Ovis aries: one gene and its partners. The protein of the gene in region 3 interacts with the protein of the main gene of each other region in a biochemical or structural test. Links are inferred from orthologs where the notes say so. Each region holds a gene or a part of one and is shown on either strand. Other genes may lie near its edges. The genes, in order: BIRC2, RNF168 and UBE2D1.

Evidence for each region.
Region 1: the proteins of UBE2D1 (region 3) and BIRC2 form a complex in vitro, tested with the Homo sapiens proteins (11 studies listed by BioGRID). The link is inferred for Ovis aries from reciprocal best matches to the Homo sapiens genes UBE2D1 and BIRC2.
Region 2: the proteins of UBE2D1 (region 3) and RNF168 form a complex in vitro, tested with the Homo sapiens proteins (3 studies listed by BioGRID). The link is inferred for Ovis aries from reciprocal best matches to the Homo sapiens genes UBE2D1 and RNF168.

What each region holds. Positions count from the first base shown.
Region 1 is NC_056068.1:6,033,028-6,043,686, forward strand, and holds part of BIRC2 (baculoviral IAP repeat-containing protein 2), read right to left. Parts: 5' UTR 10,604-10,659; coding exon 9,703-10,603; intron 9,610-9,702; coding exon 9,510-9,609; intron 5,004-9,509; coding exon 4,925-5,003; intron 4,322-4,924; coding exon 4,273-4,321; intron 1-4,272. UniProt on the Homo sapiens protein: Multi-functional protein which regulates not only caspases and apoptosis, but also modulates inflammatory signaling and immunity, mitogenic kinase signaling, and cell proliferation, as well as cell invasion and metastasis.
Region 2 is NC_056054.1:191,842,143-191,852,801, forward strand, and holds the end of RNF168 (E3 ubiquitin-protein ligase RNF168), read right to left. Parts: intron 9,175-10,659; coding exon 9,093-9,174; intron 6,404-9,092; coding exon 5,444-6,403; 3' UTR 250-5,443; downstream 1-249. UniProt on the Homo sapiens protein: E3 ubiquitin-protein ligase required for accumulation of repair proteins to sites of DNA damage. Acts with UBE2N/UBC13 to amplify the RNF8-dependent histone ubiquitination.
Region 3 is NC_056075.1:305,094-308,600, forward strand, and holds the start of UBE2D1 (ubiquitin-conjugating enzyme E2 D1), read right to left. Parts: upstream 2,801-3,507; 5' UTR 2,607-2,800; coding exon 2,583-2,606; intron 1-2,582.

The DNA of each region.
Region 1 (10,659 bases), on a different chromosome or scaffold from region 3:
GAAAGACTTAATATATCCAAGTGCTAAAAGAAAAACAAATGCCAACCAAGAACACTGGAAAATTAAAAATGAAGGTAGTCTTGTTCAGGCTTCAGAAGTAGGGGAGCATACCTCTAACCGACTTCTAACCTTGCCTGGACTACATGCCTGCCTGCATGCATGAACATCAATCATTACCAGCAAGTCAAGCAGCACTTCAGGTAAGAAAGGGAGTGGGTCTTGGATTTTTTTTTAATGAGTACTTTATGTTTGATTATTTATTTATTCATTTATTTGTTTTTGGTTGCACTGGGTCTGTTTGCTGCACAGGCTTTCTCTAGTTGCAATGTGCAGGTTTCGCACGGGCTCAGTAGCTATAGCATATGGGCTTAACTGCTCTGCAGCATGTGGAATCTTCCCAGACCAGGGATTGAACTGGTGTCCCTGCATTAGCTGGTTGATTCTTAACTACTGGACCACTAGGGAAATCCAGCCTTAGAATTTCTTAAGCCGCGGGAACCTACTCAGGCCCCCAGAGTCTAAAGAACTTTATGACTCACAAGATGAAACAAACAGCATTGTAAAAGTTAAAGAAAAACCTGAACTGCATTTTTGCATGCAAACTGTTATCAGTTTGTGGCCTAGGATCATAAGCAGGACCTCCCAAAGCTGCAATCTGAAGTCTGGCCTGTGTGGTGGATGTACTGACAGGACCCTTTCCCAGTTAGGACTCTAGACTGCTGTTACATGGGACTTCCAGCACTGTTCAATACTAGATTAACGTGGGTATTGGCCCAATGTAGAGATGTATATTGGAGAAGGCAATGGCATCCCACTCCAGTACTCTTGCCTGGAAACTACCATGGATTGAGGAGCCTGGTAGGCTGCAGTCCATGGGGTTGCTGAGTCAGACACGACTGAGTGACTTCACTTTCACTTTTCACTTTCATGCATTGGACAAGGAAACGGCAACCCACTCCAGTGTTCTTGCCTGGAGAATCCCAGGGATGGCGGAGCCCAATGGGCTGCCGTCTGTGGGGTCGCACAGAGTCGGACACAACTGAAGCGACTTAGCAGCAGCAGCAGCAGAGATGTATATGCTATTATTTCTGCTTACTGTTTCTATTTCTTTTCTTTTAATGACTGTACACTGAAATAAAGCCAAATTAATTATTGAATATTAAATATTGAAACTGCTTATTTGTGTGTAACAAGCAGTTTCTTTTGTTAACGAATCCTTTGAAACCAAAATAAAGTACAACTTTCAGCAAAACAAATACTGGCAAAATTGTCCTTCAGAAATGAAGGAAAAATAAAGACATTCCAATCAAACAGAAGTTGAGAGTTCATGAATATGAAACCTGTTTTACAAAAAATGCTAAAATGATTTCTTCAAGTTAAAATGAAGAGACCTTAAGTAATAACATGAAAACATATAAAAGTATAAAACTTAACTGGTAAAATTAAGTATGCAGGTCAAATTCAAAACACACTATACTGTAATTGTATGTCTAGTGTAAGTTAAAAAAATAGTAATACATTTTGCACAGCAAAGGAAACCATAAACAAAACAAAAAGACAACCTACAGAATGGGAGAAAATATTTGCAAAGTGACTGACAAGGGATTAATCTCCGAAATATACAAAGAGTTCATGCAGCTCTATGTAAAAACAACAAACCCAATCAAAAAGAGACAGAAGATCATCTAAAGACATACAGATGGCCAAAAGGCACATGAAAGGATGCTGAGCATCACCAGTTATCACAGAAATAGAAATGAAAACTACAATGAGGTATCACCTCACACTGGTCAGAACAGCTAATAACAAAGTCTACAAAAATAAATGCTGGAGGGGGGGTGAAGAAAAAGAGAACCCTCCTTCACTATTGGTGGGAATGTACATTGGTTATAACCACTATGGAGAACAGTATGGAGGTTTCTTAAAAAACTAAAACTGTAACTACCGTATGACTCAATAATCCTACTCCTGGGCATATATCTGCAGAAAACCATAATTCAAAAACCTCAACTGTTCACTGCAGCACTATTTACAATAGTCAAGACATTGTTGTTTAGTCACCAAGCTGTGTCCAACTCTTGTGACCCCATAGACTGTAGTCCTCCAGGCTCCTCTGTCCATGAGATTTCCCATGCAAAAGTTCTGCTGGAGTGGGTTGCCATCTGCTTCTCCAGGGAATCCTCCCAACCCAGGGACTGATCAAATCCACACCTCCTGCTTTGCAGGTGGATTCTTTACCACTGAGCCACCTGGAAAGCCCAGCCAGACATGGAAGAAACCGAAATGTCCACTGACAGAGGATATAATGGAATTCACTCAGCCACAAAGAAAGAACGAAATAATGCCATTTGAAGCAACATGAATGGACCCAGAGATTAACAAACTAAGTCAGACAGAGAAAGACAAACATATGATATTGCTCATATGGGATATCTAAATGTTTTTTAAAAATGATTTAAATTAACTTACAAAACAGAAACAGACTCATAGATTTCAGAAACCAACCTATGACTGCCAAAGAGGAAACTCTGGGGAAAGGGATAAATTAGGAGCATGGGATTATCATACACACACTACTATATAAAAAAGAGATAACCAACAAAGACCTATTGAATAGCACAGAAAACTCTACTCAATATTCTACTACAAACTATATGGGAAAGGAATCTGATAAAGAATGAATATATAGTATCACAGAATCACTATGCTGTACACCTAAAACTACATAACACTGTAAATCCACTATATTTCAATAAAATTTTGTTTAAAAAGGAGTACTATAGAAAAATACAGAAAAATAAAAAACAATACTAACAACTACAACTCCAGTAATTCGTTACTAGATGCGGAATAAAAAGAGATATAAAGTAGGACATCAATAGTGTAAAACATGGGGTAAGGATACGTAAACTGTAGAGTTTCTCTAAACGATTGAAGATAAGTTGTTATCAGCTTAACACAGGCTATTATATCTGTAAGATATTTTATGTAAGCGTCATGGTAAACACAAAGAAAAAACCTACAGTAGATACAGAAAATACAATAGAGAAATTAAAGTACACTACTACAGAAATTAAGTCAGAGATAAAGACAGCCAAGAGAAGAAATGAACAAAGGAATTAAAAGAAAAAAAAAATAGAAAACAATTAACAAAAACACAGCAAAAAGTCCTTATATATCAGTAACTATTTTAAATGTAAATAGACTAAATTCTCCATCAAAGACACAGAATGGCTGAATGGATTTAAAAACCCCATAAGATCTAACAGTATGCAGCTTACAAAAGAATCACCTTAGCTTTAAGGACACAGAAAGACTTGAAGCGGAAAGATATAAAAGGCTGAAAGTGAAAAGATTAAAAAGTTCTATGCAAATGATAATCAAAAGTGATGGGGAGTTGCTCTACTTACATAAAGTAAAATAAACTTTCAGTCAAAATTAGTGCTAAGAGACAAAGAAAATCACTATACACAGTGATGAAGGGGTCAACTCATCAAGAATACATAAAACAATTGTAAACTTATATGCAACAACAACACTGGCACATCTAAATATCCAAAGCAAGTATTAGCATAACTAAAGGGAGAAATACAGAGGAATATGATAATAGAAGGGAACTTCAATATCCCACTCCCAACACTGGTTAGATCATCCAGACAGAAAGTTACTAAGGTAACAGCAGACTAAATAACACTTTACACTAAATGCCAGATGTAGCTAAAATTATAAACTATAATCAGAATATGTATTTCCTACCCTTGCACTAAAATACTACATACCAGGCAAATACTTTTCTAGCCCAATTCTCAAATCATGTAACCTGGCCCTTTCCAAACATGATAGTTTATACCAAATTTTCCCTCTTTGGAGGGCTTACTATTTGCTCCTCTCATTTGGTATTCCTATTTTGTCTCCCCAATTAGAATATAAGCACTTTAAGAACAAAAACTAGAATACTTCCAAGAATCCTCTAAAAATGTCATGAATCTTAGAAGATAGATGTGTGTGTATGTGCTCAGTCGCTCAGTCATGTCCGACTCTCTGCAACCCCATGGACTGCAGCCTGCCAGGCTCCTCTGTCCATGGAATTCTCCAGGCAAGAATACTGGAGTGGGTTGCCATTCCCTTCTCTAGAGGATAGAAAACGTACATAATATTTATTAGCTAACTTCTTAGCACTTTTTTCTATAACCCTAGAAATCCTTTATATACAAACTTTTATTTTCAATACTCTTAAATCCTATTCTTTATTCGGGATATTTTCATACATACTTGGTGGATCAGCATTTTCATCTCCAGGAGTATTTGCAGTTGACAACAGCTATGAAACAGGACAAAAAAAAAAAAAAAAAAGGTAAAATCCAGAATCTCAAACAATCTGAGCATAGCAACATTAAGGTAAGTTTATCTTAAGTACTATGCACATGCTTTGAAAACTGGGTAGTTTACATACTGCACTTTGCTATGCTTTATCTTAATCACCATAAAATATTTCCTTAAACTTCAGTTAATTCCATATTAGAATTTAAGTATCAGGAAAGCAGGAAAAAGTATTAATGGTTTCTCATTCCACTTAGAAAGTTGTATTTCAGCTTAACCACTCTCTGAGGTTCCAAATTCCTAAAAAGTTATTTTTTGTTTATTTTTCTCAAAAAGACGGAGTAGATACTAAAGACTCTTCTCCAACCCTACCACAAATCTGTACAGGGGCAGGTTATGTGACTTTTCAAAAAACTAAAAAATAGTTTTTAAAAGCCATGAACAGACAAGGTAGTCTGAAAATAAAACTTAAAAGTGTCATTAAGATGGACATAAAACATATAACTATAATTAACTTTAAAAAGATATAAAGATCACTTTTAATCATATTTTGTAATTGTTATCTAGGAGAATCCAATGTTGCCAATTATAAAAACATATTTACCTGTTCAAGAAGATGAGGATATCTAGCTTGAATCTCACTAACAAACTCCTGCCCTTTCATGCGTATCAAGAACTCACACCTAAAACATAAAAGGAAAATTTTTAAAATTCTTTTATGCCAAAAATATACTCTGATCATTCTAGAAATGCGGTTTTCAAACTCTTGGACTATATCCCATAGTACAAACATTTTACATCACAACCTAGTACACATATACACCTAACAGAAACAAAATTCTCATAAAACATCACAAATTTTTACTATGTATTGATACATTCTGATTTTTTTAATTACATTAATACAACAATAAAGGAGTCTGGACCTCAAAGGAGAAAAAGCTAAGACTTAGAAAATGCTGTTCCAGACAATTTACTTTGCGAGTTTAACATAAGTTTCAGGAACTGTAATGTGGTATGCCTAAAATATGATCTTTCACAAAATGACTGCTAATCTTTCTCCACTGTCCACTCTTCCATTATACAGAAAGCACAAATCCCCTAAAAAAATAGAGTATCAAGTATTTTCATCTATATATACTGTGACAGTGTTTCCCAAATACTTGCTTTCAAATTACTAGAATTTCTCAATGGTTATTCCAGGAAGTTCATATAACATTTGTTTCTATTTCTTCCCTTTTGATTTTTCAACAAATGGACATAGACAACTCAATATTCATAAATATTAGCCTTTATCTATGTCCATACTGTACACAGAAACAAACTAAAAATGGACCAGATGCTTAAATACAAAACCTAAAACAATATAACTTCTAGAAGAAAACACAGGAGACAATCTTTTTGTCCTTAGGTTAAGTAAAGATTTCTTAGCTAATAAACCAACAGCATAATCCATAAAAGATAAATTGATAAACTGACATCATCAAAATTAAAAACTCCTGCTCATCAAATACACTGTTAAAAAGATAAAAAAGAAAGTCACAGACTGAAATGTTCCAGAACACACCTGATGCAGAACCTGTATCTAGAATACATTAAGAACTCTCAAAACCTAGCAATTAAAAAAAAAAAACAACTTCTTGAAAAGAGACACTTCATCAAAGAAAACACAGTTCCAAGAATGAAGAACCCACAGATACAAAGGGCTGACTCTACTATGTCTTATGAGGAACTTGAGCACCCATGGATTTTGGTTTCTTGAGGGGAAACCCTGGGAGTGTCCTGGAACCAATTCCTTGCTGACACTGAGGGACAACTTATATAGACAACAAATAAACATCATTAATCACTAAGGAAATGCTAATTAAAATCACAGTGAAATACCACTACACATCTATTAGAATGGCTAAAATAAAAAAGATACTACCACATGTCATTAAGAATCTGGAATACTTGGAGGTCTCATACATTCCTGGTGTGAATTTAAAATGATACAGCCACTTCAGAAAACAATCTGGTAGTTTCTTCTAAAGTTACAATGGTAAATAAAACTTGCCATCCAACCCACTAATCCCAATTCTAAGTATTTAAAGTATTTACCTAAATGAAATGAAAACAAGTTCACAAAGGTTTACTAATTTTTAGAGTGGCTTTACTCATTATTGCTCCAAAATGGAAACAACCCAATGTCCTTCAGGTGGTGACTGAGGTAGATTTAGTAGAGATCATGTAAACATGCTCATGACTCAAGTCATCATGCCGAGAACACAGCTTGTTCCTGATCTTAATATAGGTCTAAATTATTTTTATTCTGGGATTAACTTATAATGATTAAAGATAGGAAGTATACTGAACATTGGCTGCTCCATATTTCCTCCTTCCAATAAATTCTATGAGGACTAAGATTTCTGTCGTATCTTATTCACTGTTAATATCTCCAGCATCTAAAGTAGTATTCACAAGCATATAGGGAAATAGGTGAAAGTGATTTAGATATAAAATTCAATGATAAAATAAATAAGCCATGGGGACATAATATACATACAGCAAAAACAATGTGGTTAGAAGCAATTATGACTTTGTTGTTGAAGTGTTAGTCGCTCAGTCGTGGCCGAGTCTTTGTGAACTCCATGGACTGTAGCCCGCGAGGCTCCTCTGTCCATAGAGTTCTCCAGGCAAGAATCCTGGAGTGGGCAGACATTCCCTTCTCCAGGGGATCTTCCCCACCCAGAGATCAAACCCAGGTCTCTTGCATTACAGGCAGATTCTTTACTGTCTGAGTCACAAGGGAAGCCAAAAGCAATTTTTATACTTCAAAGAAAAAAAAAAATTTTAATATGGTCAACAATATTGCAATAACTGTATAGGGGCAGATGGTTACTAGGCTTATCATGGTAACAACATTATATATGCAAACATCAAATCAGGACACAGCACACCTGAAACATATTATGTATGTTAACTGTATTTCAATTTTTAAAAAATGATATTAGAAGGGGGAAAAAAAGATCATCATGATTTTCCACTGTTACTTCTAACTACTTATTCCTAAGACTCTTGCCACCAGATAATGCTGTGACTATCATGAATTATCATGCTCAATCAACAGGATCCCAGTATTCTTACTGGTCTGCTGCAAAATCAGCCTTTATCTACCAGTTTCAACCTCATATGTAATAACAGTACCACAATTTTTGCCTTTCTCTTTAATTTGGTTCTTCTTCGTTTTGCTTTGGATTGACTTTTCATTTGATTCCACACTGTCGTGTAAATATTAGTAATTATGAAAAAGGAAATTCTTTTGAATGATTATGAATAAAAATGTTAAGAGAGAAATAACATCAGAGGGAGAGGGAGAGGGTGGGATGATTTGGGAGAATGGGAATTCTAACATGTATACTATCATGTAAGAATTGAATCGCCAGTCCATGTCTGACGTAGGGTGCAGCATGCTTGGGGCTGGTGCATGGGGATGACCCAGAGAGATGTTGTGGGGAGGAAGGTGGGAGGGGGGGTCATGTTTGGGAACGCATGTAAGAATTAAAGATTTTAAAATTAAAAAAATAAAATTAAATTAATTTTAAAAAAAGAAAAAATAATAATTTTTAAAAAAGAGAGAGAAATAACAGAAGTAAAATAGTAGCTAGTAGGCATACAAATATTTAATAAGTGAATAAATAAACTGTGTTAAAAATACAATGATAATGATTATCCACTTTGGATTTTCATTTTCTGAGATGAAAGACTATCCACAATTGAAATTTGTTGTTTTCAGAAGTGTTTACAAAAAGTACTTCTGGCCTTTTCCCTTATGTAACCATTTCAAGCAAAACACTAATTACAGAAGTAAACCAAGATTTTGTTTGGTCTTGTTTTCTAAAGGAAAAATTATAGCAAATGAAACACTGTTAATCAGAAAGCTGTTTTTGTCTTTTTAATATAGTATTAAATTCCAAATTACAGAATAAGCCAATCTCGTAGAGCCAAGGACAATCAAGTCATTTAAAATTCTGACAACTGGGAATTTCCTGGTGGTCCAGTAGTTAGGACTTGGTGTTTTCACTGCTGTTGCCCAGGTTCAATCCCTGAATAAGGACTGAGATCCCAGAAGCCACACAGAGACGCCAAAAATAAATACAATTATGACAATAAAACATGATTTTTCCTAAAAAAAAAAAATTTAGAGATTCCTCATTATTAGGAAAGTCACTCACCAGTCGAAACATTATCTATATGATATGATTCCACTCTTATAAAGTACCTAAAATAGTTGAATTCACAGAGACAGAAAGTAGAATGGTGGTTGCCAGGGGCTGGGAATATAAGGAATTAATGAAATGAATACAAGATTCAGTTTGGGAAGATAAAAAATGTTTGGAAATTGACAGTAGTAATGAATGAGGAATAAGGTGAATGTACTTAATGCCACAAAACTGTATACTTAAAAATGGATAAAATAGCAAATTTTATGTTATGTACATTTTATAATTTTTTAAAAAGACAGTATTACCTATTCCAAATTCCTCATTTTATAGATGAGGAAAGGCTCAAAGGGGTCACATGACTTGTCCAAGTTCATACAACTACTCAATAACATTCCACCCACAGCACTGCCTCTAAATTCTTTCCAGGCTATAGTAAAAAAAAAAATAGGACATACTGGTAGAAACAGAGTGACTAAAGAGAGATACATGACATATCACAAAAAGATAAAACTGTACAGAAAAAAATAATTTACAATTATAATCACTTAAAACTGATTATACAATTAGGTTTTTATTATATGCATTTTTATATTTGTCCTATTCCTAGATTCATTTAATGTCCCTTGTTTTTCTTTTTCCTTATCTTTTCCTAATGTATCGCCTTTTTGCTCTACTTTACATATTTTTATAATACTTTAAACAAAATGGAAAATACATAAATGTAATGTATGGCCACAACTGTGAATGAGGCATCAAGAATAAGTTAAATTATATCCTGAACACATGGTTTATAAAAGAAAAAAATCACAGAATATTCTACATTTTTCTACCAAAATAACTGTTACAATTTGGTGTCTTAAAAGGCTAATTCTCTAATGGTATAAAGAAGCTTTCTTATACTGAAATGTAAACTTAAAATACACAAACATGCCTACATCTTTTACACACAGAGTTGTATATACAAATACCTTTCAAAACAATTACCTTGGAAACCATTTGGCGTGTTCTACCCATGGGTCATCTCCAGATTCCCAACACCTTAAGCCACCATCACAACAAAAGCACTTGACATCATCATTGCGACCTAAAGAAAACACAAGAATAACTGAATACACACGTGTTCTAATATATTAATCAAAATGAACTAGATAAAACATACAGCTATACATTCTCTTACCTACATAATAGAAACCAGCACTTGCAAGCTGCTCGGGCTGAACTGGTACAGTAGATGGCCAGTACATAAATGTTCTCAGGCGAGCTGCATGTGTCTGCATACTCAAATTGGAAATGCTGAACCTCAGCGTTCCCAGAGAATTTTCCAAAAATGGACAGTTGGGAAAATTTCTCTGGTGTTCTAACATAGCATCATCCTTTGGTTCCCAGTTATTTAGCGTCCCACCACAGGCAAAACAGGCTACCCTGTCTCCAGGTCCTATATAATAAAAGCCAGCTCTTGTCAATTCTGACGGTGACAGAAAGGTTAATGGCCACATTTGATAAGTAAGAAATCTCGCTTCTTCAGTACTCATGGCATAACTGTAGGGGTTAGTCCTCAGTGGGGAAAAGTCTTCGACTGCTCGAGAATTAATAGGGTTTGGTGAAAGGTTGGAATAAGAACCACTGAATGATCTACCATGTTCCAAAGTGGGTGATAATGAGTGAGTAAAACTGTTTCTCATTGGAGAAGAAGCATTCTTAGAAGTGGATTCCAGACTAGTAACAGAAACTAGATTCTGAACAAAGCTACAGCTCGGATACAGTTGTTTATGCTTCTCAATAGGATTGTCTCCTTGTTTCCAGTTATCCAGCATCAGGCCACAACAGAAGCATTTGACCTTGTCATTCACACCAGTATAATAAAAACCAGCACGAGCAAGACTCCTTTCTGAGACAGGAACACCGGTGGGGAAAGTTGAATATGTAGACATTCGGTAGAGCTCACATGAAAAGTCGTATGTCATTTTTTGTTTGTTGCCACTTGTCCAATTTGACAAGACTGTGCTATCTTCCATCACACTCTTAATTTTTCGATACGAGGGATCCAGGACAAGTCTTTGGGAGGTAGTTTTGTGCATGAGTGATTTTTACTTTTTGACAGCAAAAATCCTTTACATGAAATTTTTCTTCTCTT
Region 2 (10,659 bases), on a different chromosome or scaffold from region 3:
GATGAAGTGGAAGGATACAAACGATGGATAAACTCAATTTATGATCCCCAACTGAGTGAAAACCTGGACTGAACTAGTTTCACAGAGCCTAGGTGCAGCAGCCTGGGACCACAAAAGCCAAGTTGAAGAGAAATGTAAAGTGAAATGTAACGAGAAGGAAGGGTCCTCTCAGTTGAATTCAGGGTCCATGTCGCTCCAAGTCCTGCCACAAGGCAACTTACATTGAAGGGTTAAAAAAACAAGACAAAATTTAAAGTAATTATTATTTATTAAGATCTTTACATGGGAATCAAGTTATGGGTAAACACAGTAGAGGCTCACCTCCCCACTGCAGTTTGTTTTACACACCTTTATGCATACCAAATGTATAGAACTTGTATAGGAATTTAAAGAAGCCACAAGATATTTGAGGAATGGTTTCCTCTGAGGCTGAAGTCACTTGTGATCTGGGAGCCGTAACACAGGGAAACTCATGGTCAGGGGCCTCTTCTGACACAGAGCTAAAAATATATCCGGTAAGGGAGAGGTGAGTAGTGTTCACAAGCATACAGAAGGCAACTGCACTTTACTGGATGCTATACATGGGCACTTAAGAGTACACGAAGTCACTGGATAACTGACTCTCCCAATAGTGGGGTTGGATGTAGTGGGACTGGAGGAGAGCCAGGAGAGACACTATCGTTTAAGGTTCTTTGTTGAGTCAGGGCCTGTGCCAGTTGCTCTATTACTTCCCTTAATTCTCCATAGCAACTCTTGGTTACATTGATTCCTGTTTAGAAATTAAGACAGATTAAGTAGCTTGCCTAAGGTCATACAGGTAGAGACCAAGTTAAGAAGGACATTATTTTCTTCCCTCCTGCACCACACGCCCCTTCTTTTGGTGGTCCAAAATTCATGCACAAATTACTACTCCCACAGTTCAGTTCCTTATATGTGAACTAAGGAATCTAAGAGCTATTTAGTTTTAAGTATTTATACCCAGGTGCCCTGCATTGGGAACATGGAGTCTTAGCCACTGGACCACCAGATAAGTCCCTCTAGGAGTCTGTTTAAAGCCATTCACAGGTCCTCCGAGTATTGCAGAGTGAAGATTTGGCTCCTGGGATTTGGCTCCACAGACTTCTGTGCTGGGGGACTTTCAGCTGAGGCTTCTGGTCTGTTCAACAAGCTTCCTTCCTCTGGTAGGTCCTGAATTCTGTTCTGTCTCATCTGCAGTGTGAGCCTGATGACTCCTCTCTGCTTTTCAAAGGTTTTTAGCCTTTTAGCCTCTGCTCTTAACAGTTTCAAAACTGTAGTTATCTTGATGAGAAAGTGTAACTTGTGTTTGATGATGATGACCTTCAAGTCTCTAAAAACTCCAGCTTCATGAGCTGGCCAAGAGTTCTGCCAGTAGAGCAGACCTGTTCACCAGAAGTCCTCATTCTCATTCTGCATTCAGAATAGGCACACACTACAAGTGGAAGAAGGGTTTCAAGCATCAGTTCACCTCTCAGGTCTCCCCTCTCTAGAATCTTAGCCCCTAACTTAGTCCTCATTGTTTCAGTAGCTTTCTGATGTTTTTAAGTAGAACACTGTATACTTTTATCTGGCTCTTCTCATTGTCTTCAGCAAGACTGCAGGTCTACAGCATTGCTACCTGAAAAGCATAAGCTTTGCTTCTCAGATAATTTAAAAATAGTACATTCAAGCTAAATATATTCATTCACAATGGTATTTGCGAAAACGGTTAACTTTTCATGTTGAAAACTCTTCCTAAATTATGATTCTTAGAATTTAAAGGAAAAAAGAACTGTCTAGAGTGGTATAGGCTTAGATGCATAAATAGCCTTAATCTTATAATATTTAAGTTTTGAGTAGATGATACATTCAACATGATTGAAAATTCAAAAAGTAGAAAAACATCTAAACTCACTCTTCCACTTCTGTCTCCCAGCCACCCAGTTTCTTTCCCTGCTGGCAATACTATTTTTCTCTCTTCAGCCAGTTCAATCACTCAGTCCTGTCTGATTCTTTGCAACCCCACGAACAGCAGCACGCCAGGCCTCCCTGTCCATCACCAACTCCCGGAGTCCACCCAAACCCATGTCCATCGAGTCAATGATGCCATCCAACCATCTCACCCTCTGTCGTCCCCTTCTCCTCCTGCCCTCAATCTTTCCCAGCATCAGGGACTTTTCCAATGAGTCAACTCTTTGCATGAGGTGGCCAAAGTATTGGAGTTTCAGCTTCAACATCAGTCCTTCCAATGAACACCCAGGACTGATCTCCTTTAGGATGGACTGGTTGGATCTCCTTGCAATCCAAGAGACTCTCAAGAGTTTTCTCCACCACCACAGTTCAAAAGCATCAATTCTTCAGTGCTCAGCTTTCTTCGCAGTCCAACTCTCACATCCATACATGACCACTGGAAAAACCATAGCCTTGACTAGATGGACCTTTGTTGGCAAAGTAATGTCTCTGCTTTTTAATATGCTGTCATAACTTTACTTCCAAGGAGTAAGTATCTTTTAATTTCATGGCTGCAGTCACCATCTGCAGTGATTCTGGAGCCCAGAAAAATAAGTCAGCCACTGTTTCCCCATCTATCTGCCATTTAGTGATGGGATCGAATGCCATGATCTTCGTTTTCTGAATGTTGAGCTTTAAGCCAACTTTTTCACTCTCCTCTTTCACTTTCATCAAGAAGCTCTTTAGTTCCTCTTCACTTTCTGCCGTAAGGGTGGTGTCATCTGCATATCTGAGGTTATTGATATTTCTCCCAGCAATCTTGATTCCAGCTTGTGCTTCATCCAGCCCAGCGTTTCTCATGATGTACTCTGCATATAAGTTAAATAAGTAGGGTGACAATATACAGCCTTGACATATTCCTTTTCCAATTTGGAACCAGTCTGTTGTTTCATGTCCATTTCTAACTATTGCTTCCTGACCTGCATACAGGTTTCTCAATTCTCTTCTTTGGATAAATAGTTGCACACTATTCTACACTTGTATTTTTTGTTTACTCTATATCTTATAGTGCTTTTAATAACAGTAAAGTCGGGTTTTTTTGTCTAACTGCTGTATAGTATTCCGTTTTACCATCATTTATTGTCTCTTGATATGCTTAAGGTTGTTTCTAACTTGTTATTATAAACAATACCATACAAAAATCTTTTGTGCATGCCATTATACATATGTGTGAAAACAGTAAGAAATTACTAGAGGTAAACTGCCAAGGTTACCTCTTCAGGGCTTTAAAATTTTCTATCATATCAAGCAACATATAAGAGTGCCTATTTCCCTACAGTTTTGCCAAGACTGGAAAAAAACAAACAAACCTATACACAGATAAAAACAAAACCAAAAAAGCACCTTTATCTTTACTAATGAAGGATAGAAAAACATATGAGCATTGGTATAAGTGATATTATGCATCTTTTCACACATTCAAGAGCCATTTGTATTTCCTTTCCTGAGAACTGTTTCTTGGGAACATAAACTTTTCTAATTTTTCTTTTGAGTTGTTAGTCTTTTTCTTAATGTACTGGCAGACACTTTTTATAAAAAGAAATTAGCTTTTTGTGGTGAACTGTATCTACTTTTTCCCTAGTCTTCCATGTCTTCCAGTTTTCCTTTATGGTAGTTTTTACATATAACTTATTTTCATGTTTTAGTTTTTAACTGTGATAAAACATATAGTCCATTTTAATTTTTAATAATTATTTTAATTTTCAGATTTTCAGCCTCTGCACAGTTCTAGCACTCCTTGAGAAATTAAACACTCTCATATCCCTTCCACAAAAATGGAAGGAAAAGTATCAATACATTCTAATGACACGAAATATTTACTAGTTTCTCACAAAGATGCATACATGCTAGGAGTATCAGAAAGACTAAGAAGTTAAAATTTGTGTTAAAACCAATTTTAGTCAGGAAGACTTTTCACAGACAAATAAGTGGTTATATATGTAAATCCTAAATACATTATACTATTTTTCTCCCTTTTTGGTTATGGACTATTCCAGGAAGATTTAACTGTATAACTTTTATTTGAGGAATCCCTAAAAGGTAAAGCAAAATTGGTCTTAAAAAATATTGGTTTGATGAAAAGATTTTAGTCTACTTTAGAAAAATTTGGTTAGTTTCTAAGTACACTTCATTTCAGTACAATCATTACTCAGGAGACAATCATTTTTGAGAAAGGGCAAACTAAATTTTAAGTTAGCATCAGGATTCTACCCATAATTAATCAATATCGAAGGAGATGCCATCAGGTGCAGATTACAGAATTTTGGTTACAAAATTTGGAGGAAAAAAAAAATCAATGTCCAAAAGCACTGATAAATTTAAACTACAATTATTAACTCTAGGACATTTTATTATGTCATTACCTTAATAGGATGGTTAACTAGACATCCATCAGAAATGCTGTTAAACCTGTTATTTGCTCAAAGTTGTTCATACTACTGAAACAAAAGATCTCTAAGTTAAATTTCATAAAATGAAATTGCTGCCTTCCTTTTTAACTTTTCGGGGTAAGATAGGGCTAAACCCAAGTATCATCCTTTCTATTTTTGTCCATAAACACAAATAACCTAAGGAAATAAACACATGGTTAGTCAGGTTCTACAATATAGGATACTGTGACATAACTTTCCATTTTTTCCTCTGGAAAAGTAGATTAGATAGTATGGTGTGTAAAACTATAAAATCTAAATGTTTCTTGTGTCATTCAGCAAAGAAAGGACGAGGAAGAACACTCTGCCAGACTACACCTGCTACTCCATTCTAGATCCAGCGGTCTGATCATCCCACACTGTTCATCTACCCCTCTAGCCTCATCCCAAAACAAGCTCCTCTGTATCAACAGTCTAGTTTTGTCAACTAAGTACTAATTTTCCAGAAAACCCCGATTTTTCTGATTTAACACTGACCCCAACCCATTTTAAGTCAAAGAAAATATTATAATACTTAATTAAAGCAGAGATGGAAATTAGTGTTATGGAAGATGTATGTCAAGTGCTCTGCAAATATATGGGAAAGCTGCAAGAAAACAGCTTTTAAACCCTGCCTGGATCCCTTAGCTACTTGGTACTAATGTTGCTTTGATCACTAGTCAGGACAAAAAGGGGCTCAAAGGCCATAAAATATGCATTTGGGGGGGAATGCACAGAACTGAAGATTTCCTGGGAGTTGGCATATGCAATTTTATATCCGTAAAGGCTGTCAACCTATACTTAGTACATCAGTTATTTGAAAAAGGAAGGGAGTGGGACTCTTGCTTACAACTGAGTCTGGCAGAAACACATTTGTATATTTCTCCTTTGTAATCACATGCTCCTTTAGTTAGAGACAATGAGTGTGTCCACAGAGCAGAGATAATGAAAAATTTATAAAGAACCTATGATAGAAAGCTTTACAACTCAACCTTACTGGATTATAAAATACTCTTCTTACTCAAGCATTACTTTGTGAATCTCTGAAACATCTGAAAAATACTTTTCTGTGACTTACTAGGCTGTAGGGAATGAGCAGTTTTAGGTACATTACAATTATCTCTAGTAGAATTTGCTACCTTTCTTCCATTAACTGAACATTTCAACTGGATCTTAAAAGAAGGTTGCCGATGGTTTTCATTTTTTGAGTCGGTCTGAGGTTTTGGCTGCTCTAGCTCAGTTTGTCTTTTGGAGTTTCTGTCTCTGGAATTCTTTCTCTGTCCATTTAGTACTTTGTCTGGAGGTGAGGACACAGTCCGTAGCTGATATCCATCTGGGGATCCTTTTTGCCGGTCTGGCCTTATTTGCTCTTGATCCACCTCTTCCTGAAGTTGTAATGCTAATAACCTGTCCTGCTTTTCTTGCTTATGTCTCTCATAAAGTAGATGTTCCAAATCTATCAGTTTTTGGGTCAAGCTGATTTCTGTTTCCTCTTGGTCTGAGGAGGCTTTGGGGAACGTTTTCTTTCTTTTTGCAGAAAAGCATGGCTCTCTGATTGCTTCAGACAAAGGTTCTAGGTTTCTTCTTTTGGAGGTACCTTTACTGATCGGTAGGTGGGACTCTTCATTTTCTGTCCCAACCGTGTTGTTTCTAAGGAACTGTGTCGTATCTGTTACAGTACACTCACTCTCTGTTTCACCACGTGCCTCAGTGGCAGCATCTCCAGAGTAGGGAACTCTGGCTTTAGGTTCCTCGAGACTTATGACACATAACCCTTTTTCACGATTGCTTGGTCCTGTTTCAACTTTTCCTTCAAGGCACCATTCTCCACCACTGGTACATAACTGAGGCATAGGTGACTCCACTGAAGATTTTGCATCTTCTTCCTGAACTGCAAGATATATTTGAGGAGAAAGCGTTGGCATATCTTCTTCAACATCTGTGTCTTGCCATGTAGGGCTCTTCACATCACTGTTGTCGTCAATTTTCTGTAGAAAACAGAAAAAGACTGAATGAACCAAGGGAAACCATCAAGTCATAACATATAAGTCTTATTACACTGACACCAAAACTGAGTTGTCACTATATACTATAATTACCTGATTATCACTACTACTAAGATATATTAGTTTTTAATAGTATTTTTATTCTGTGTGCCAACTTAAGGTATTTCTTCATTTTCACTCCCATGAAAACCTACAGCTCAAAACCCACAAGCCAGTTTTATATATGGCCAGCAGCTGGCACCATGACTTGACCTTTCATCTTTTAAACTTCCTCCAACCCAGGGACTTTTAATACCTTTTTGTGTCACAAACCCTCTTCCTTTTGGCATTTTTGTGAAGCTGACAGACCTCTTCTGAGAATAATATTTTAAAACATAAAAATAAATACATAGGGATCAATTTATATTGCAACATAATTATTAAAATCTTGTGATATAATAATGCATATCATTAATACATTAAATAATAAGATCTAGTAACAAGTCTAATAATTTGTAACTCTGAAGGAGGGATGAGTATAAATGTTTTAAGAGATCTACAACAAATGTAATATGTTATTGGTGACAAAGACACAGGTACTGTTGACAGTATTATGGTTTGCTGCTTATATTCATGACTATGTTGCTAAGTCGCTTCAGTCATGTCCAACTCTGTGCGACCCCACAGACGGCAGCCCACCAGGCTCCCCTGTCCCTGGGATTCTCCAGGCAAGAATACTGGAGTGGGTTGCCATTTCCTTCTCCAATGCATGAAAGTGAAAAGTGAAAGTGAAGTTGCTCAGTCGTGTCCAACTCAGCAATCCCATGGACTGCAGACTACCAGGGTTCTCCGTCCATAGGATCTTCCAAGCAAGAGTACTGGAGTGGGCTGCCATTGCCTTCTCCGATTCATGACTACAGGAAACACTAAAATGAGAGGTCAGGTGGAAGATAAACTTTTTCTTCTATCCAGGTTCATATTTACTCTATGGATTCTACCCACAGACCTTAGGTTAAGAACCCTTGCTTTAGCCAGTGTAACTCTTCTCACTTACAGGTCTTGGGTAAATTAAGATCTAGGATTAGTTTTGACCATGGGAAAGCCTTAAGAAAGGCTTCAATGAGAATTTGCTTCAAGACAAGTTATTTATTGTTCAAGATCTTAACTCTGTTCTTTTACCTACTTTGCTTTGCATTTATTGTTCCTCATAACATTTCTTGTGAACCAATGTAGTCTGGGTTGGACAAATTCTAAACTGCCTACCACGTTTTGCTGTGAGTATTAATATCAGGATAGGGAGAAAAAAATTCCCAGCCTTCAATGCCTCCTTCCATCAATCGTTAGCCCCAGCATAAGCCAGACTATCTGGACTTGAATTTCCCTCTATTACTTCTACTTAAGAGACTCTTTATGGCTCAGCTGGTAAAGAATCTGCCTGAAATGTGGGAGGCTTGGGTTAGATCCCTGGGTTGGGAAGATTCTCTGGAGAAGGGAATGGCTGCCCACTCCAGTATTCTGGCCTGGAGAATTCCATGGATTTGTACAGTGTATGGGGTCACAAAGAGTTGGACATGGCTGAGTAACTCTCACTTTCACAGGACTCTGAGCAATTCTCTAGCCTCTGCATGCCTCGGTTTTCTCAATTATAATTGGACACAAGGATACCTTACAGAATTGGTGGTTGTGATGAAGATTAAAGAAAATATATACATTTTTGGGCACCTAAATGTCCATTAAGTGTTAGGTACTATAAAACCACCTACCTGAATTGAAAAAAACTTATGAACCTATTAACAAAACTTTGGTTAACAAACCTTCTATGTAGGCATTGATCTTGGTGTCAGCTCATTTTTTCTAGTGCTATTTTCCTGGAAATATGATAGAGGTGGAATGTCACTTGTGTCACTAGACCTCATAGCTTATGATAAAAATGACCCTTATTGTTGAACTGCATTTGTACTAGGAGACCTAGGAGGGATCTTTAACCCCCTACAGGAAGCCAAGGTTCAGGGCTTTGGTAAACGACTTAGAACTCTTTGACTGGCTGTGTTCCTTACCAGGACCTCTGGAAGCTACTCCCATGAGTCGTTACAGTAAATAATTGACTCTTATGGGGCATGGGACTTCTAAATCTTCATGGTGACTACACTCCTCTGCATGGTCTCACTTCCAGGCCATCACTTAGGAGCTCTGCAGTGAGGATTCTTGCTGAACAGATATGCCTGATGCTGCCCTACTAGCACGCTTTATTTCCCATTCTGTTATCTTTTAAGTGAAGCTGGTACCAGGGGTAGCCTATTTAGTTTTGTGAGTCTGATGATCTAGGTTAGGGATCTACAAATTTTGCCCATGGACAAAATCCAACCTGGTGTCTGTTCTTGTAAACAGTTTTACTGGAACAAAAACAAGCTCATTTGTTTACATTTTATTCTGGATGCTTCCACGTGAAAACAAATCACTGAATAGTTGTGACTGAGACCACCTGGGCTATAAAGCCTAAAATATTTACTATCTGGCTTTCTAGAGAAAAAAATCTGCTGACTCCTAGCTTAGGTGAGACTAAGATGATTAAGAAGGTGTATTCCATTTACTACAGTGACTTTTAAAAAAAAAAAGTAGGAAACTATAAGTATTAACGATCTATACCATTAATAAACTTGCCAAGCCAAGAATATCTTTAGCATCCACAAACCTTAGACATGGAGTTTTTTCTGTCTTCCTGTGCAACTTCAGACTGTGATGCTGACCCAAGTTGAGATTTAGGTGACAAATACCTTTAGAAAAAAGAGTTCGAAGTTAATTACACTTCAATAAAATATACATATATATAAAAAAAAAGTTTGCCAAATTTGAATGCTTTGAAACACAAGTGGCATGTATCCAATGAAATAAAGCCAGATTAGCTATTTATGCTTAAAGCTGTCTCACTTGCTACTTGGCTTATTTCTCAGAAAAAGTGCTATTTTATCTCCCTGTCTCAGGTATTTTGGTCTAGCTCTGGAACAAAACTTAAAAGTCCGAGTATTGATATTTTAGTGAAAAACAGGAGAAAAGGAAGCAAAAGTCAAATTTAAATTATTCCTTAATTCTCAAAAGAATCTAAATAGGTAGGTCCTGGCATCAAAACAACCTAAGACTGTACAGTCTTTCCAAAAGTAACGGAAATGACACTTTAAATTAGGAGAAAGAATATGTTAGTTTCTTTTTAATGTCAGAAATTCTACACTTTTTATCTCTGAAAAATGGTCCATGATCAGATTCTTTACCATTTTGGTACAGAGATTTTATTACATACAAATTTATATCAACTATCTGCTTAGAGATATGAGATTTATCAATATGTTAGCATAAGAGCATGTCTCTATCTAAGCATCAGTTTATTCTTGTATTTGTGATACATTTTTGTTTATATATTTCAAAGTATATATTTAGATTCATGAAGATTTATGACAATTATATCCTTTATGTGTGTGCATGCTAAGTTGCTTCTCAAACTGATGTCCAACTCTTTGCGACCCTATGGACTATAGCCTGTCAGGCTCCTGTGTCCAAAGGATTCTCCAGGCAAGAATACTGAAGTGGGTTGCCATTTCCTTCTCCAGGGGATCTTCCTGACCCAAGGATCAAGCCTGTCCCTTTTTATGTCTCCTGCATTGGCTGGCGGGTTCTTCTACCAATAGCACCACCTGGGAAGCCCCCTATATCCTTTATGCTGAATAATATTATATCAATTTGAAATATCCCTGCTTTTCTCTTTTAATGGCTTTTCTCTTGATTTCTACTTTACATAATATCAGCATTAACAATATTGAGGCTACATGTCTGCTTTTTCTCTTAATAGCAACCACCTCTTTTAACACTGCCCTCTCCCTATAAATCTTCATCTCCCTGTCTCAAATTTCCACTATCTCAAATCCTAAATTTCTATGAATTTTGGAAGGGGGTAAATCAGTTGCACATATTTATCTAGTTGAACCAAAAGCCCTTACATGTTTTTGAAGTCTAGATTGTAGTTGATAAACTTCTTCGACTATGAATTACTATGGGAAAGCTTATCAACTTGTCTTGCTGCTAAGAGGGGCACAGTGGGGCAACTAAATTCACTCTACTGTTGACTACCTGACTCATGTTTTTTGTACAGTAGGGAAGAAAAGTAATATATAAACTGGGAAAAACAGAGTGGGGTAAGATCTAGATGCCAAACTGTAAACTCTTTCAATGAAGATGACCTTATATTGGACTACTTTTTTTTCATTTGA
Region 3 (3,507 bases):
GAAAAACTGTGAAGTCATGACCTTTTTAAAACACGCCAAATCACTTCTTAAGAGATTAACTTGGACAAAGCACTCCACTCGAAACCTCAAGCTCCTTCTCTGAACAACAGTGAGTAGACTAGAATGTCAGTCAGTGGTTCATGACCTTTCTTCCACAGCAGCCCATCTGAGGGACTCACCAGCATCTCTCCATTTACAGCAATGGTTCATTCAGTTCAGTGGCTCAATCGTGTCCAACTCTTTGCGACCCCATGGACTACAGCAGTGGGGATGGTCTGAAATGTCCCATGGTTGATTCTGATGTACTACCCTAGAAGCTGTTCCCCTGCCTTTCACTCTTGAAAGTACTTTAAGGTTCTGCACAGTTCCAAAGCCTGCCACTGTAGGCCCAGGAAAATCGCAACCCAATGACCTTATCTGACAGTGTTACTTTAATACATTTTAAAAGAGAGGCCAAAAGTTAATAACATGGATTCTTTTGTTGAAGCACGGAAGATTCAAAAAGAATTTATATACTGATGATATCAAAGAGGGCTCTGTAACTTAACTGTTCACATGGCAAACAGCATACCTCCCCTGGAATTCACTTCTCATCAAGAAGGTAGTAAAGAAAGAGAAAATGTGGGGAATCAAACAAAATACTTCCTAAAGTTGAGAGTGGTCTGAACAAGTGATCAATGGAAAAGAGATCTGTACAAATCACTTTTTTTTGGTAACAGAGAAGGGGAGCCAAAGATTGACACACAGAGATGGGATGCTATGTCATATCCAATTTTTTTTTTTTTTAACCAGACAACTCTGTTATAAACTAATAACTAATAATGACTAAAAATATGATTTGGGTATATGCCATATTATAAATACAAGCCAAAGACATTGGCTCAGCAAGGAGACTGATACATTGCCCAGGACACTTAACAGTGTCCATTTTCTGTGAATGTTCACTTACTGTCGACAAATTTTACACTATTTGAAGCTACTATACATGTAGTCTTGCAAAAAACTCTTACAACTAGGGAAGAAGGAAATGGAATTTTAAGACTTCCTTGGAAAATGTGTGTTTACCTCAAATGTGAGCCAACATTACATCATCATTTAAAAGTACACAAGGCATGGCAAAGATGCTGAGTGGGGTTTCAAAATTAGAATCATGTATATGAAAAAAAGTGTGTAACTGCATTATCTTCAAATCAGAAAACATAGTAATCAACACATGCTGATTTTAGCTATGTGCTTTACCGTGAGAGTAACCTTAACAGGCACAAAAAATAACAGTATTTCTCAGATCTCGGATCATTTGACCCCTCCCCATCACCACCACCACCAAATTGGCTGGGTCAGAAAGTTGCTGTCCTCTGTACCAGAAGATGACATCAATGGTAACTGAGAATACAATGTATACTTCCCTATCACTGCCTTATTGATTCGTGCCAGAAGAAGTTGATAAAAATTTTTTTTGGTAGTATTTCTTCTGAAATCCTTTAGAAAACATGCTGTCCATCTCTGGCTTAACTTGCTGAACGCATTTCTCATTAAAAAAACAAATTCTCAATGTTCTCCACATGAACCATAACAGTAAAGCCTAAAGCTTGTGAAAGGGAACAGACTAAATAACCCAACAAGAAACAAAAGTGAACAGAAAGAAAACGCCCCAATCTCAGGTCTGTAACATGTTCACATTAGAGACGGTAGCAAAAAGCATTCATGAGAAAACAATTCCTTACACTGAGTTGGGACGGAAACATATTTGTTTAATGTATATAAACATTTCTTCCTCATTCTATACCCATGTGTCAAAGCATGGAACTATCTAATTTGTGACAGTTTCTGTTGTGTCTCAAACTTTACATATAAGTTTATCATGGCGAGAAAAAAAAAAAAAATTGCTTGGCTTGACTCACCATGAATCACAGCCAGGAGGTCATCTTGTTGTGTATCAGCAACTATGTTTTCACTACAGCTATGTGACCTCAAGTGGCAGCAGCAGAGGCACCAAAATAGAAGGGGCAGGAGGCTTCTCCTGGTTTCTCGGTCCCAAATGGGCTTTTCCAGCCCATTCGGGCATCTGAGCAAGAGCCAACCGCAGAGGAGAGAAAGAACAAACCCAACAGCTCCGCGGAGGAAGGTTGCAGGCCCACCACACCTTCCATGCCCTCCCGGGAGCAGGGGAAGGCAAAATCATAAAAGAGGACAGGTTTCAGAAACAGCATGAAGAAAGCAGCATGACAAGGGCCAAAGCTAGCCGGGTGTAAGGCAAAATCCAGTGACCCAGCGGCACATAGGTCTGGAGGTCTGGAGACAGAAGCAGCTCTCCTGCCAGGGATCCCCAGGCGCAGCTCCGGCGTGAGAGCACATCGGGCCCCCTGCCTCCAAGCACCTCCAGCACCCGGGACCTGTCGCTGCTCCCACCTCACCTGTCGGGTGCCCGCTGGCCCGCCGGCGTCTCTGGCCCCCGGTCCCCGCCCTAGCCCATCTTCCCTGCACGCTCCCTCCCGGCGCGTCTCTCGGGACCACCACTGGGGTCAGCGTGCGCGGCGAGCCGAAGCCCGCCCCGCTGCCCCAGGCCCGGCCCCGGCACTCACTTTCTGAATCCGCTTCAGCGCCATCGGTCAGGGAGGGCGGCTGGGACACTGGCCGGCGGGGGACGGCTGCAGGGCTCGGGGGCGTGGGGTAGTGCGGGCTCGGATCGCCGGCTGTTCGGCTGGCTCAGCCGGGTGGGTTCCCGGGTCGCTGCTGTCTGGCTAGCTCTGGGCGCGGGTGCCTGCTCTGAGTGAGCCCGAGCGCTAGTGTGCGAGTGTGCGGGCGGGGACGCCGGCGACACTCTTTTGTTTCCGCTTTTGCTTCTGGGAAGGAATCTGCGGCCGCCCGGCCCCGCCCCCTCCCGCCAAGCGTACTGGGAAATGCAGTTCCTGCATCCTACTCGGCCGCTGCCCGGTTCGGAGACCTTCACCCACTGCCAGGTCTGGGTTAGTCTCTGCAGATGGATTTCGATCAAGTAACTGAAACTGGAGTTCCCAACCTGTAAAATGAGAATAACAAATTAGCTCGAAAAACATGTACCGGATTCTAATGTGTGCTACATCTTGTAATTTTTTTTTCATCTTCCCTTTTTCTGTTACCAAATCCTCTTATCAAGAGTTAGAGTGCCCTAGAGTTCCAATCTCAGACCTCTCGCCATTAATATCTTCCTAGACGACAGACCTAGTGTCCTCCCGTAAACTGGAAGGCCACCCAACATAGCCGGAGAAGCGTGGGGTTTGTGGACTGACCCCTCTCTTGGGATGGAATCCAAGCTCTGATCCCTATCCACTGTATGACCTTGTAGCACTTAAATTCTCTAAGCCTCAGTTTCTGCGTGTCCAAAGAAAAATAATCTCCATATATTATTGTAAGAATTAACTGATATTAATATGATGTGCCAAACACACTACCTAATATGTTGAAAATGCTCTATAAAAATTATTTCCTTGTTTTTATGTATATGATAATGATTTTAAGATCTCTCTT